Linked DNA regions of Arabidopsis thaliana. The protein of the gene in region 2 binds, or shares a complex with, the protein of the main gene of each other region. Each region holds a gene or a part of one and is shown on either strand. Other genes may lie near its edges.

What was found. The genes of interacting proteins can lie anywhere in the genome.
Region 1: Tic32-IVa (region 2) and TIC55-II share a complex: the UniProt entries of both Arabidopsis thaliana proteins name them as parts of the tic complex.

The regions. Positions count from the first base shown.
Region 1 is NC_003071.7:10,572,496-10,579,715, reverse strand, and holds TIC55-II (translocon at the inner envelope membrane of chloroplasts 55-II), read right to left. Parts: upstream 4,775-7,220; 5' UTR 4,679-4,774; coding exon 4,284-4,678; intron 4,193-4,283; coding exon 4,090-4,192; intron 4,009-4,089; coding exon 2,887-4,008; 3' UTR 2,778-2,886; downstream 1-2,777. Other genes in the region: AT2G24830 (zinc finger (CCCH-type) family protein / D111/G-patch domain-containing protein), read left to right, coding at 562-687, 914-1,207, 1,496-1,556, 1,711-2,723; AT2G24810 (Pathogenesis-related thaumatin superfamily protein), read right to left, coding at 5,017-5,252, 5,335-5,469, 5,528-5,683, 5,800-5,854; AT2G24800 (Peroxidase superfamily protein), read left to right, coding at 7,146-7,220. UniProt on the Arabidopsis thaliana protein: Involved in protein precursor import into chloroplasts. Part of the redox regulon consisting of TIC32, TIC 55 and TIC62.
Region 2 is NC_003075.7:12,225,297-12,234,181, forward strand, and holds Tic32-IVa (NAD(P)-binding Rossmann-fold superfamily protein), read left to right. Parts: upstream 1-3,606; 5' UTR 3,607-3,874; coding exon 3,875-3,980; intron 3,981-4,725; coding exon 4,726-4,957; intron 4,958-5,033; coding exon 5,034-5,113; intron 5,114-5,230; coding exon 5,231-5,384; intron 5,385-5,458; coding exon 5,459-5,537; intron 5,538-5,621; coding exon 5,622-5,709; intron 5,710-5,825; coding exon 5,826-5,872; intron 5,873-6,014; coding exon 6,015-6,197; 3' UTR 6,198-6,422; downstream 6,423-8,885. Other genes in the region: AT4G23420 (NAD(P)-binding Rossmann-fold superfamily protein), read left to right, coding at 764-789, 889-935, 1,014-1,097, 1,769-2,000, 2,084-2,163, 2,264-2,417, 2,508-2,586, 2,677-2,764 and 2 more. UniProt on the Arabidopsis thaliana protein: Involved in protein precursor import into chloroplasts. Part of the redox regulon consisting of TIC32, TIC 55 and TIC62.

The DNA.
Region 1 (7,220 bases), on a different chromosome or scaffold from region 2:
AAAAATATTCAAATTACCTTTAAAAACTATAACATTGGTTACATTTTATCCAAATATATCCGAATTACTCAAAACTATCTAATATATTCAATTTATAATTGTAATTTTGGATATTTGGAGTATTATAAGTATAAATATAACTAATATTTTAAAGTGTATATTTATATTCGAATATTTACAGGTATTAGATTTGGTTCTGTTTTTTTTTGGGTAATTAGGTTTAGAACTCGACGTATTTTTAAAAATCGGATCTGAATCGATTCAGGTATTTTTTGGGTTTTCGGTATCGGGCATTCGGGTATTTTTTTTGGGTTTTCGGTTTCGGGCATTTGTCAAATCGGTTATATAACTACAAAGTTAAGAGTTTAACAAAAAATTATACAAAACCAAATCAAATTAAATTGAACCGAACCGTATGCGAATTGCAACCAAACGCATATAAAATGAAAAATTATAAACTGCAAACCCGGTTAATTTTCCGGGTCGGCCCGGAACCCAAGAAGTTTTCTTCTTCCTCTCTCGTCTTCTCTCCTCCGCGGGAGACTCTAAAATCATCTTCCCATGGCGAGCGAAGAAAACAACGACCTTGAAAATCTTCTTGACATTCAGCTAATTGAACAAAAAGAATCTCTTTCCTCCATTGACGAAGCCCTACTCTCTGACCCATCTAATCCCGAACTCCTCTCGGTAAATTTTCTTCTCTCAAATCAGATCCCAAATTTCCTGGAGAACTAAGATTACTACGATTCAACAATTTTGTGATTGCTCTTTTTCTAGAAATTATATAGTATGGTATCAATTAGTCCAAAGCTGTTTCCTTTTTCTTTGATAATCTCATTCTTAGAGTAGCTAGAGGTGAAAATCCGTATACTTAGTCTTATGTTTCATGTGTGGTGGTTTTGTCTTTGGTTAGGTCCATGAAGAACTTCTCAGTGCAATCAAGGAGGTAGAGGAAGGGCTTTTGCATTTAAAACGAGCTCGGTTATTGGAGGAAGCTGATATAGTGTTGAATGGTCTAAATCATGATGCTGGAGTTAAACCTGAGCATCTGGAGCCAGAGAAAACTGAAGAGAAAAAGGATTTGGATGGATCGAAATGTCGGTTTCGACATACTGATGGTCGTTGGTATAATGGTCGTATTATTGGATTTGAAGGCTCTGATTCTGCTAAGATCTCTTTCCTTACACCCACATCTGAGAGTATGATGGTAAGTTCTTTGTAGTCATCTGTTAAATGTTTTCTTACTTAGTTCTTGTGTTTTGGATATGATCTATCAGTCTTTTCCTACAATACTAATGTGATATAGGATTTGAAAAGCTAGGGTGGATAGAGTTTATTGAAAGTCTCAGTTTTGATTGTCTATCTAGCTTAACTAGGTTTTGCTATAGGCATATAATAATGGCTGTGAAAGACTAACTTTGAGATGGTTACTGGTGGATTTTTTTCAATTGCTGTTTTGTGTCTTAGATACTAATGCTGCACCACATTTGTGCAGATTTGCAAGTTTTTTATGCAGCAGAGGTGTCGGTTTGGCAGTTCTTGTCGTTCATCACATGGTATGTTTAAAGCATAGTTAGATGATCATAATATTTATCATTATCGTTTTGTGTGTTATATATTCATACCGTGACCACATTTAGAACTTTAGAAGTTAGAAATGTGGCTGGTTTGTCATTGTGGTTGATAACTGCAAGACATCGATCGGTGCAGGACTAGATGTGCCGATATCTTCTCTGAAGAACTATGAACAGACTGAGTGGAAGCAATTGATGGTAGGCTCTAAGATTTGGGCGGTTTCTGGCAGTAAATACGATATATGGAGAAAGGCTGAACTTGAATCATGGGATGATGAGTTACAAGTAGGCGGAGTTGTTTTCAGAGATGATAAAAGCTCTGCAAAGCTAGGATCTGATTCTTTGGCATTATCAGAGTACGCTCAGATGACTGATGATGATGGGGAAGAGGAGGAGGAGGAGGATGAACAACAGAGTGCTTCAGATTCTGAAGATTCTGTTTCAAGTGATTATGATGAAGGGTCTCCACAAGGCATAGGCTTTCTAGAAAGCACAAATCTACCAAGAGGTGTCCAAACTGACACTGCCTTATTTGCTAAATGGGAGAATCATACTAGAGGAATAGCTTCGAAGATGATGGCAAGTATGGGTTACCGTGAAGGGATGGGTCTTGGCGTCTCTGGCCAAGGGATATTAAATCCAATCTTAGTAAAAGTACTTCCAGCAAAGCGGTCACTGGATTATGCTCTTGAGCACATTAGGAATGGAGAATGTAAAAGCGAGAAACAAAAGAAGAAAAGGAGCAGAGGTGGGAAAAGGAAGCGTGGGAAGAAGTTTGCAGAAGCAGCTAAAGCAGCGAAACAGGAAGAGGAATCGAAGCCAGATTTGTTTAGCTTAATCAATGAACAAATTTTTCCTACCCGCCATGAGAAAGTACACAGCGAGTCTGTAAAAAATAGGCAAAACAAAGGTCCAGTAGACAGGAAAGCTTTGGTTGAATACCAAGATGAAGTCAGAGACTTGAAGTTAGAAATGTTGAAACTAGAACAGATGGTGAACAGAAACAAGAAAGATCTAGTTGTTTCAGAGGCTGCGACGAGAAGATTGAAAGAAGTCCGAAAGGCATTGGCAAGTACATTAGCATGTCAAGCAGCTGCCTCAAATGCTATAGTAAGCAAAGAGAATGAGAAGAAATGGCTCAAGTTTTAGAACATAGAACTTTAAACCAGTTTAACAGAAATTTCATGGTTAAACTGTAAGATTGATGGCAAACATTGGAACCTTCTGAATTATATAATTGCGTTTACAAGCAAAAATTTATTTCATGAAATACATATTGTTGGAAGAAGAGGAAACATGACACTATACATTTTCATAGTCTTCTGTGTGTTCTAATGAAGTTATTGGTGTTTAGATTTATAGCTCTTAAGCAGGTATAAGCTGCGGCTGAGCACAATGCTGCTGAACCTAACAGGACAGCCTTCCACTGTCTACTAACCACCAGAATGGCCAAAGCCGTCAAAGCCACTGCCGTGGCAGAGAGGATATTTTTCCAGAGCTCAAAAGATTTGATCACATTGCTGCAGCTTCTACAATGAATAATATGTCTGAAGTACCGGTTAGCCAAATTGGGAGCATGCATAGTCCCAATTCCGCCTTTTGCAGGGTAAGAAGCAGAGAGAGCTGCAATGAGCCCTGCCGGGGCATGTTCCACGACAGGAGGGACTTTGGGGAGAGATATGGTCCTATGCCCGAAATGGTAAGGCATCCCATGACCAACTTTGTCCATCCACTTTCTATATTCAGCGACCCATGTGTCCGATGACTTTAGATTCAAATACAAGTCCTTAGTTGGTACTTTCTCCTTCATCAGAACCTCATTTTGAGACGATAGAAACCCCATGTCTTGTTCAAAAACCTTGCAGGCATTCTGATGCCAGAACCATTGAGGTAACACCGAAACCAAAGGCGATCTTTTTGTGACCCCAAACCTAACAATAAGCATAGACTTCCCTTGCCCTGTAGGTCTACAAAGAAACAGCCCTGAAAAATAGTTCTTCACTCCATCCTTCCCCTCGAACTCTCGATTGTTCTGCAGAACACAAGGAGCATCAAACCGAAGTAAATTACTCCCTTTCCCACCTTCTTTCTCTCGGCCCCAAGTCCCTGCGAAACCCCGATTACTTCGCTCTGTGACCTCGAAAACCAAAGGCTGAGCATCTTCTCTTTTAGCAGTGAAATCCGTTCTATCATGAGAGATAGGAACATGAGCAGGATCCATCAGATTCTCTAAAAGAATGGAATGGTCATAAGGAAGCTCATGAGTAGTCGAAATGTCGAAAAAACCGGGTCTAGCGAAATTCTCAAACCAAGGAAGCTTCTCAGGGTTTGGAGGTGTCTTTGTTGACATCCACACCCACACAACTCCTTGTGAATCCTTCACCTCATACGTCTTCACACAAGCAGCCTTTGGAATCTTAGCACTTGCAGGAAGCTGTTAGAAACAGAACCCAAAACCAGTAAGTACAGAGTAAAGAGAAAATCTCGAAATAGCAAAAATCAGTAAACAAAGAACCTGAGGAATCTTGACACATTTGCCCTCTCCTTCAAATTGCCAACCATGATACAAACATTCCAATCTCCCATCAATCAATTGTCCTTCAGACAACTTAGCCAACCTTTATAAAAAAAAAGACAAAACTCAATTTCAGATTCCTAAACAAAAGTACAAAACTAGTGGTTGTGGTTTTGCTAGATGATTTATCTTACCGATGAGGACACCGATCTTCGTAACAACGAAGTGTTCCTTCACCGTCTTTATACAAAACAATTTGACGATCGTAGACGGTGAGGCCAAGAGGCGCATCTTCAGGGACGTTTTTAGTTAAGTACAATGGATACCATTCCTCTGTCCAATCATAATCCGCCACCTCAACACGTTTCTCTTCTTCAGGGTTTAAAAGAACATCTCCACCTCCTTCTGTTTGATCAGATACGGCGGTTCCAGCGACGGCGGAGCGGCGGAGGAGACGTAGACGAGGCTTTGTGGGTATAGTGCATGTTGATCTGTGGTTGTGGATTATTGGTGTTGGTGTTACTTTAGTGAAGAGAATCGGAGAAGTGGGTGTGAGTTGTAGAGAAGAGCTTAGAAATGGAACAGCCATGGCGGATTCTTCACTAGAGAGCTCGAATCCAATGTTAGGTGTTGTTTGCCTCTTCTCATAAAATATATCATAAGGTTGCTTGTTCAACCATTGGACCTCGTTCCACCACATACATAGATAGTAGAAACTTTGGCTAAACGACGTCGTTTATTTTTACGTTATTTAAATGTCATTTTAACTTCTTTTTATTTTATTTTTAATCTTTTAAGTTTTAACATTAGTCTTTTTTGCTTTAATACATTTCATAGTGATGAAAAAAAAACATAAAACTATGTTAATAGTGATTAATTATTTATTCATTGTTGATAATAATAACAATAAAAAAGGCTATACTATGCCTAAGAACAGAAACTGATAACATAATTAGCACTAGTACATGTAAATCTACTCGAAGCATAATCGTACACATAGCTATACGCAGTGGGACAAGCTCCTTTAAATATCTTCGAGTATTTCGTCGGCGGGCAAGTCTCCGGTTTACTGAAAGCGCCGGTGCAACAATACTCCGGTTTGTTAAAAGCCTCACAAGCACTCTTACACGCCACAACACCCGATGAGCCGTTAACGCGTAGCTCTTTTGGACAAATGGCATTCACGTCCGAAACACATCCCGCGGTTTTACAATTGCCTGAGCCACCTTGTGGTGTGATTTTCACCTGAACGTTGTAACCGTCGACGAGACTCACGTCGTAAGAATCTTGTACGGTGTATTTCTTTCCAGAGGAGCCGATTCTGAATTCTGCTAGTGTGGCTGGTGGTGCTCCTCTTGCACCGGTGCATTTTTACATTTTCTGGAACCAGAGGCGTTGAAGTTGCAGCCCGTTCGACCCCAGATTCGACCAGACCAACCTGGAGAAACGGTTAAGTTTACAGAAGAACCTGAAGCTAAGGCAAATCCGCCGCCGCGGAGTAGTGTGCGGTTTGCGGTTAGGATTCCGGGCCACACAGTAAAGTTGCAGCGGTTTGATAAAGTGAAGACGGTGCCGGAGACAATAGAAATTGTACCTTGAAGAATATACAATTAAAAAAAAATTACTAGGACGGACAACAAAAAAAAATTATCAGATAAATTATTAAATCAAAGTAGTCATCTTAAAATGTTGGAAATGTTTTATGTATACATGTGGCTATGATGAAGGAGAAGAAGAGAAGATGTAATTTGGAGAAAATAGCCATTGTTAATCTGAGTATTGAAAAGTTGAAGTTGTGATGATTAGTGAAAGTTGATGGTGAGGATCCTCTGTTTATAGTGTTTTTCTTTTCTTTAGAAACAAATCCATTAACTTATTGTTTTGGATACTACTACCATAAGTGACACTTCATATTTTTATTTTTTTTACTTTTAAAGTTTAATGAGATTTTGTTTCTTATTACATAAAAATCAACTTTATTAATCTTAAGGAAATCTCCGTAAGCATTGATGTTTTGGATTTTACACACATTAAAAATTAAACATTATTTTATGACTGTTTATTTTTTATATTAAATATTTTTAATAACTATAAACTAATACTCATTGATTGTAATCTAATAAATTTAATCATTGCATCCTGAACTTTGTGATTTATAATATCAGTCAATAAAGAAGAAAAGAAAAAAAAAACTACAAAATTAAAGTGGAATAAACTTAAAATGATTAGAAAAAGATGGAGTACATTTTTTCTATTATTTTTTCACAAAGCTTTAAACCTAACATTAAAAAATTTGCTTGTTTTGTTTCCTTCGAAATTATAAGATTATTGCTTAATTAGGTTATTGAATTCGAGTCCAAAGCCACGACCCCCAGGTTTTAAAATCCAAATATCTCCGTTGCTTGTTTATTTTTGTTCTATATCGAGTTTATTATCTAAAAACGACAAACCTTTTACTGATTTCCACCATTTCTTGTACTTTTCAGGTTTTCTGAGACATGAAAGACAAAGAATTGGCTTATCAACAGAAACTATCAACAAATAAAGAGTTTCTGAAGCACATTATTAGATCCTTTTGTACATTTTTCTATTTATAGATTCTCTCTTCTTTTTTTGTATGCAAAAGTGACATATACTATAACAAGTCAAAGAAAGATGAATTCAATAAGCATGAGTGATTTTTTTAAATCTTCAAAAAGAAATATCTGAAAGGTACAAAAAAAAGTTTTCTGATTTTTGTCACAATAATGGAGAAATTCATACTATTTTAGGGTTTCTTACCCATAAAATTCACTGCATGCAGTGATTGGATTCACCACTTTCAAATTCTTGTTTTGTTTGTAAAATTGATGACTCGATCTCATGGATGCATGCATAAGAGAGTAAAGAGATTGTCATTAAGTTCTCCTGACTCAACCATCACTATCTCTCTCTCTCTCTGACACGAACGCACATGCATTTACAGTTTTCATTTATCACAACAACTACAACTTCTCTTCTCTCTCTCGGCTGATTAAGCAACTTCACTTTCCATCTTCTGACAGACACATTAAAAAATGGCGTTGCAGTTTTTTTCATGCAAACCAAAATATACATTCCTCTCCTCTCTTCTTCTACTTTTGCTTCTTTCT
Region 2 (8,885 bases):
TTTTTATAATGAAATTTCTAATTCGAGAAAAAAAAATTTAGTCACTTCCGATCCACAAAATCTGAGTTAAGAAATTGAAAAAAAAGAGCTAAATGTTTTATGTTTATGGAACATTATTTTAAATGTTATTTTAGGTAGTCAAATGGGTTATCTTTGGGCCAGACATTAGTCATTGAGGAGGCCCACAAAGGTATAGAACTAGAGTAACGAAGCCTTGCCTTGAAGGCAATAATCGCTTCTCCCACATCGGAAGTTTGAGGATGGATACTCGTCTGTGACATAGTATAAATAAAGAACATGGTCGAAGCTTGCAAATTACTTACCTGGACGGGGTCAACTCGTGATCAAGAAGACGAGTGGCCTAGGCTAGTGAATTCCATTGCACATAACGGAAGGGTGCTTAGCTTAAGGTCTTCCCTTGTGGAAGAGCCTGCGTCATTATTTGTGGCAGAGGGGGTTTGCGTTCGCGCAGCCCCTACCATTCCCAGTAGTTCAATCTTTTGTTCATGAATACCCATGGCCTAGGCTAGTGGCTTCCTGCACTTGAGGTGCGCTAAGCCTAAGGTTTCCCCAAATGGCCAAGTGGGAGATCCTGCGTCATTATTTGTTGCCTTGGGGGGCTGCGTTCGCGCGGCCCATTCCATCCGCAATAGTTCAATCTTTTTAGCTCTCTGGTAACTGTTATAACATCTGAGGTCTTTCTTTAATTGTTCACGTTTTTGGTGGAGCTATTTTATTGAAGGTTGTTAATTTGACTTTGGAGATGCAATCTTCTAATCAAATCTCCACGTGAGAAGCGAGGATTCTCTCCTCGTCATTATTTATCCTTCCCAATTAGAGTAATCACACTTTTCTGTCACATATGAATTATTAAAATCAGAACTTAAGCGAAATCCTTCGACCACTAAAGAAGAAAATCCCTAACAAATCTCAGAGTTTGTGTTAATTTCTTCTTTCCTTACATCTTTTCCAGAAGAAAAAAAGCTGAAAGATGTGGTTTTTTGGATCGAAAGGAGCATCTGGATTCTCTTCTCGTTCCACAGCAGAGGAAGTCACACATGGTGTTGATGGGACTGGTCTCACTGCCATTGTCACAGGTTTTCTTCTATCAATAGTTTCATGCCCTTTTGCGACTTGGGTTTGTCTAAAGTTGTAGACTTTTCTATAATTATGAATTGATTTCATATGTAGGGTAGAGATTTTTTACTTTTATTGTTTAGACAATTGGAATTTGATGTTTTTATGATCAGGGTCTGTTTTTGGTTCGGTCAACCCTAATAAATATATGGAGGTCATCACCGTTTGTTGTTCTAAAGTTTGTCTTTTTTTTTTGCCAATAAGTAACAAGCTTTTGCTCACAAGAATTGGATTGCTATGTTTGGTGAATTTTAAAGTACAACATGTTTGGGACCATTTGATCTGCAAATAACATGTGCTATTAGAAAGTTACATATATATACATACTTGTCTCTGTTTCAGCTGATTCTAAGTTATGTTATAATCACACACTATACAATTTCTGACCAAAGGAAGAAAAAAAAAAGATTTGCTTGTAGATCTCGTTTCAATACTTTTGTGAAGTGCTGCTTCCTTATTTTGGTTAGATTGAGTATGTAGTTTAGTATGCACATGTTCTGTATCAGCCTATCAGGGTATTGAAAAGGCTAGGAACGAGCTTAATCTATTAGTTGATACAACTTAAGAAAGTGAGATTTCTGAACATGTTGGATCCTCAAGTTTTGTTTTGTTTGTTTTCATGTTTTTTCAGGAGCATCAAGTGGTATAGGTGTAGAAACAGCTCGTGTTCTTGCACTGCGTGGTGTGCATGTGGTTATGGCGGTGAGAAACACTGGCGCCGGTGCTAAAGTTAAGGAAGATATTGTCAAGCAAGTCCCTGGAGCTAAAGTTGATGTCATGGAGTTAGAACTCAGCTCAATGGAATCTGTCAGGAAATTTGCATCTGAGTACAAATCTGCTGGTCTTCCACTCAACCTCTTGATGTAAGCTATTGAAATATCGTGGTTCATCTATAGCCGTTTGGATTTATTGACGTTTATGTTTTGACTTGTCTCAATTTTGTAAGCAACAATGCCGGGATTATGGCATGTCCTTTTATGCTCTCTAAGGACAACATCGAGCTGCAATTCGCAACCAACCATTTAGGTGAGTATGATAACCAAACCAACATTATGGCTTTGTCCTACATTTTATATAATTAGTTTCTAATCAGTGCAACGGTTTTTGTAATCCAAATACATTTCAGGACATTTTCTGCTTACCAAACTTCTGTTAGATACAATGAAGAACACATCACGTGAAAGCAAAAGAGAAGGAAGGATTGTTAACGTATCATCAGAAGCTCATCGTTACTCGTACCCAGAAGGAGTCCGCTTTGATAAGATCAACGACGAGTCAAGGTACTAATGGTGAACCAAATAGTATAATTCTCCGATCCCATCTTTTCTTCTAAAGCCAACATTCTTCCTTGATTTGGTCTCCACATGCAGTTACAGTAGTATACGTGCTTATGGACAATCTAAACTCTGCAATGTATTGCACGCCAACGAGCTTGCAAAGCAACTGAAGGTAAACTACACTAAACAAAGCAAAGATATAGCAAATCAAGAATCTATGTTTCCATGGTTATCTTCAATTCTGGTATATGATTAAAAACAGGAAGATGGAGTCAATATAACAGCAAATTCACTTCATCCAGGAGCCATTATGACAAATCTATGGGGCTACTTCAACTCCTATTTGGCTGGTAACTTCTTTTCTCGGATTCAACTCTCATCACTCCATGTTTCATAAGGTTACACTCAAAGTAAACAAACGCATACATATATTTTGAGTCTCTTCTGATCTCTCTGTCACCGGCTTAATGCAGGAGCTGTTGGTGCAGTGGCTAAATATATGGTCAAGTCTGTTCCGCAGGTATGCATCTAATTTCTGAACCTCACACTAATAACCAATCACTTGCAAACTTGTCACTAGGTTTCTCAGCTTAAGTAGGAGAGAATGATACAGCAGTCTAGCTTTACGGATTGATTTGGTTTTTGTTGGTAATCTGGTTTATAATGTCTGAGTATTCGACTTGGTAGGGGGCGGCAACAACTTGCTATGTGGCATTGAATCCACAGGTTGCAGGAGTTACAGGGGAATACTTCTCAGATAGCAACATTGCTAAACCAATAGAACTTGTCAAAGATACAGAATTGGCGAAGAAGCTTTGGGATTTCAGCACTAAGCTTACTGATTCGCAATGATGATTACCGTTGCAGTAGATAGTTGTTCAGGGAACCTTTACTTTCGATGTCTCTATTGTGACAATACTTATTTCAGTCTTTATTGATACAAAATAAAATGTAAAAAACAAATCTGAAATCATTTCCATTTCAATTCTGCAAAAAGATGGTTTATCCAATTTCAGCCTAAACAAAAGTGTTACTTATCTGTTTTCTCATTGACTCAAAACAGTTGTCTAGTGAACTAACTCGTAGACATAAGTAAGTAAGAAACCAAACAGAAAGAGCTTAAAACATCTTCTGATTTTGGAGTTAACTCATGTTATTGGTGGGAGCTATTTTAAGGACATTTGTTAAATCCTTTAAAAAGAAAGTTGTTAATAAATCCCCATCATTTGACTTTGGAGATGCACTATTCTACACTTCAACCTCAACCTCGTGAGACATGAGGATTAAAGTAAAGTAATCACATTTCTGTCACATATGAACAAATAAAGTTATTTAAATCAGAATAAAAGCGAAATCGCTTGACCACTCAAGAAGAGAAAAACGCTAACAAGTCCCATAGTTTGTGTTTATTGGACTTCTTTCCTCTCATCTTCTCCAGCAGAAACAAAAAAAGCTGAAAGATGTGGTTTTTTGGATCGAAAGGAGCATCTGGATTCTCGTCTCGTTCAACTGCAGAGGAAGTCACACATGGTGTTGATGGGACTGGTCTCACTGCCATAGTCACAGGTTTTCTTCTATCAACACTTTCATGCCATTTTGCGACATGGGGTTGTCTAAAGTTGTAGACTTTTTTTCTTATAATTTCCAGAACTTTTGTCCTCTCTGATTCTGTCTTCGAATTGATTTCATATCTAGTAAAAAGACTTGACTTTTATTGTTTAGACAATTGGAATTTAAGGTTTTTATCATCAGGGTCTGTCTTTGATTCGGTCAACTCTAATAAATATTGAGGTCATCACTGTTTCTTGTTCGAAAGTTGTCTTTTTTTTCAAGAATTTGGATTGAAAATTCCATGTTTGGTGAATTTTAAAGTACAACAAGTTTGGGACCATATGTATAATTGCATGTTAAGGGAAAATAACTCGTCTCTGTTTCAGCTGCTTGTAAGTTGTGTTATATATCACAACTCTATACAATTCCTGGCCAAGGGAAGAAAAAATACAGATTTGCTTGTAGAAATCGTTTCTATATTTTGATCATATTACATTAGGGCCTGAAACAAGAACAATGGAGTCCTTGAATTGATAGAACCCTGTTAGGTGACACTAAAGACTTGCACATACATATTTGAGTGTAGCATCGATTGGGCAAACCCTGAGTCAGCCTAATAGCCTATCAGGGTTTGAAAAGGCTTGGAAGAGCTTAACTGATCATTGGTTGATACAACTTTAAAAAGTAGTCTAGCCTGCATTGAGTTTTCTGGACATGTTTGGTTCCTTAAGTTTTCTTGTCTTTGTGTTCATATTTTCAGGAGCATCAAGTGGTATAGGAGTAGAGACAGCGCGTGTTCTTTCACTGCGTGGTGTGCATGTGGTTATGGCGGTGAGGAACACTGACTCTGGTGCTAAAGTTAAGGAAGATATTGTCAAGCAAGTCCCTGGAGCTAAACTCGATGTCATGGAGTTAGATCTCAGCTCAATGCAATCTGTCAGGAAATTTGCGTCTGAGTACAAATCTACTGGTCTTCCACTCAACCTCTTGATGTAAGCTATTGAATACTGTATATAGCGGTTTTGATTTATTGATGGTTAATGTTTTGAATTGTCTTAATCTTGTAAGCAACAATGCCGGGATTATGGCATGTCCTTTTATGCTCTCTAAGGACAACATCGAGCTGCAATTCGCAACCAATCATTTAGGTGAGTAGGAGAAGTAAACCAACATTATGTGGCTTTGTTCTAAAGTTATATACTTAAGTTAACATCATCATTAGTTTTTAGTCAGTGGCATGGAATTTGTGATCCACTTTATTTCAGGTCATTTTCTGTTGACTAAACTTCTGCTAGATACAATGAAGAGCACATCACGTGAAAGCAAACGAGAAGGAAGAATTGTTAACCTATCATCAGAAGCTCATCGGTTCTCGTATCCAGAAGGAGTTCGTTTTGATAAGATCAATGACAAGTCAAGGTACTAATGGTGAACCAAATAGTAATTCTTCTATCAAAATCTAACATTCTTCCTTGGTTTGGTCTCCGTTGCAGTTACAGTAGTATGCGAGCTTATGGACAATCTAAACTCTGCAATGTGTTGCACGCCAACGAGCTTACAAAGCAACTGAAGGTAACTAGAAAAACAAGAGATCTATCAAATCAAAATCTATGTTTCCATGGTTATATTGATTCAAATCTGGTATGAATAAAATAGGAAGATGGAGTCAATATAACAGCAAATTCGCTTCATCCAGGAGCCATTATGACTAACCTCGGGCGCTACTTCAACCCCTATTTGGCTGGTAACTTCTTTTCTCTTATTCCACTATCATCACCCCATACTTCACAAGGTTACACACAAGTAAACAAACGCATACATATACTTCTTCTGATCCTCTCTGGCATTGGCTTGATGCAGTAGCGGTTGGTGCAGTGGCTAAATATATACTCAAGTCTGTTCCACAGGTATGCTTCTAATTTCGAAGCCTCACACTGGTAACCAATCACTTACAAACTGGTCACAAGGTTTCTCAGATCTTGCTTAAAGGATAAAACTTGGTTTTGTTCCGTTATGTGGTTTATAATGTCTGAGTATACGACTTTGTAGGGAGCGGCAACAACTTGCTATGTGGCATTGAATCCTCAAGTTGCAGGAGTTTCAGGGGAATACTTCCAAGATAGCAACATTGCTAAACCATTACCACTTGTCAAAGATACAGAATTGGCCAAGAAGGTTTGGGATTTCAGCACCAAGCTTACCGATTCACAATCAGGAGAAAGCAGTTCTTGAAAGTAAATGATGTTCAGTGAATCTTTACTAATGGTTTCATGTTTCAACGTCTCTTATCTCTACTGTGACAATACTTATTTCAGTCTTTATCAAAGGAAATAAAAACGTATAACAAATCTGCAATAAGATGGTTTATTCTGACCGGTTTAGTTCTAAACCTTCACCAAACACTTATCAGAAGAAAATGTAAAAAAGCTTTGTAATCAAGTATCAGAAGATTTTAAAGACAACTTTCGAATTCAAAAAGAAGAAGAAGCCACGAGGAGACAATACTGTCAATGCATTATTAAAGTGATGGTCAGAAATGAAAATAAAAATCAATGATGATAGTTTTCTAGTTTAAACTCACTTTATTAATGGTTTCATTAGGAAGGTTAAGTAATTAATTAATCTTTGTGATTGGAATTTGGATCATAACGTGCAAATTGTCGATATAGAGTGTTATAGATAGGCTCTGTATTTAATTCATTTCATACCCTCTATATATAATTGTCGGTCGTTAGATGGCATTTGTTTTTATATTTATTTGATTTGGACCAAACAATGCTATTAATGATATGCATTGTATAAATTTCAAACTATAACGAGAGCAAATTTCAATGTAGGTTTAGGACTATATATGTTGATATTTAACAAAAAAGAAAAATTCATCTTAGGGTGATAAGATTGATCACTAAAGATTATTGAAATGTGGCCAAGTACTAGAGTACTACTATTTGTGACTATTTTACAATTGTTCACAATCATATCTATTGTACGTACAAACTATTTGCAGAAAAATCACATGCTCCAATATGAGATATTGTGTGTATGGATGTGGATACCTCAAATTAACTCGTAAAAATGTATGGACCTAATATAGTATATAATACGATACTAAAGATTTTTGTTCATTTTACTGTTGTTGATAGACTTACACTATGATGAGCAACAAAGGACTGAAATTTCAACAACAACAAATGATTTTTGAAATTGTCAAAATTAGTTGTCATCATCAGCAACAACAAAACTAATCAAATATGTTTGTAACATTCTATTTGAGAAAATTTATATAACTATATTGAAAAGAACATATATCACACAATCGTATATGAATGGTTGGGGGATGGACTAATAAAGAGTATGGTAATGTTTCTCAAACTCTCTGAGAAGCCACCAAACCACTTATAAAGAGATCTAAGTTCACACCTTTGTGTTTACTTTATCTAACTAATCCGTGGTACTACAAAGTAATTAAATTGTGGTAACATTGAATTACATATTCATTTTTATTCTATCATTACCAAAAAGTCAATCATGTTGTAGTACATGTACAGATTGGACGCTTTCTTTGTATTTTTCTGCTGTGTACACATTCAACTTTAATAATTGCTCTTCTCCGTAATGTGGTAAAATTCGATTTCATGCATATATTCAGGATTTCAACAACAGAAAAAGTTTTCAAAAATAACCAAAACATGTGGCCAAGTGATCTTTGTTATCACTATGACTAAAATCCATATAATCCTTACAATTATCATTCACATATATTTAAGCTTCATAATTGACTCATCTTTCAATCATTGACAAAATTTGCTTTGTCAAACAAAAGCTAAATCATAAGGAAATAGTGTCTACATGAAACTAAATCAAAATTATTCCTTCTATTCAATTCCTAATTCATAAGGATGGGCCTCACAATTGGACTTTAATTCTCTAAATTAGACCATTTTTCTGCTAAAAGAGCAAATGTGATCTCTTGAAAAGGTGTTGGAGAGGCGATAATTCGGAGCCGTGGATGAAACGTGTGAAAAGGGAGTGATGAGGCCATCAGGACCGTACGTTGATATCACGTGAGGACACGTGGGGGATTGAGTGAGCATGTACAAACAAAACTGTCTTTTGGACTGACTTTGGAAGCAACCAAGGAAACATCGAACATCATTCGGTGTACCATAAAAACAATGCATATCATTGAGCTGTTTGTTACCCCCAAAAAACATATGGTGTCAAACACAAGACTATTGTCTTATCAATGACTATTATTGATTTGAATCTTAATTTATATCCATCTTAAGCTTATCAAGATTCGAGTTAGGGTGGTGGACATTAGTTAATTATCAAATTTTATAAATCCTAACTAAGGGTAGATTTCGGTGTATAAAACCAGGTCAAATTATTCGTTTTATAGTTTTTCTATATATAGTGATGAAAATAATTGTATATATATCTTCCACAATACTTTAAAAATGTACAAAAGTTCATATATCTTCCTTACATTGTTACATGCATGGCTATATCCTACACTTGATTTAGTGGAGTTTATTTAATAACTCAATTATTGCTTGGGAAGATAGATAATTGAACTACGTTCATGGGAAGGTCTACGTCTTCAATCATTGATCCCCACAAAAGCATTGGTCGTGAACACGACTAATACCAATTAAGCACCAAAATTTTGATTTTACTTATCTAGCTAATGAATTAATTTACTTTTAATCATATGATTTTGAAGCAAAATCCAGACTGATTACATTGTATGTGAAAGAGACATATTTTTACTACTATTTAAAATGTTTACGGTGGCTAACTATAAGTGAAATCGTAGAGAAAGAATTTGATTCATGGCATATATCAAATTTTAACCATCATGGTTGTTATTCGTGACCTTAGAATTTATGCGTGTGATCACCCAAAAAAGGTGATATA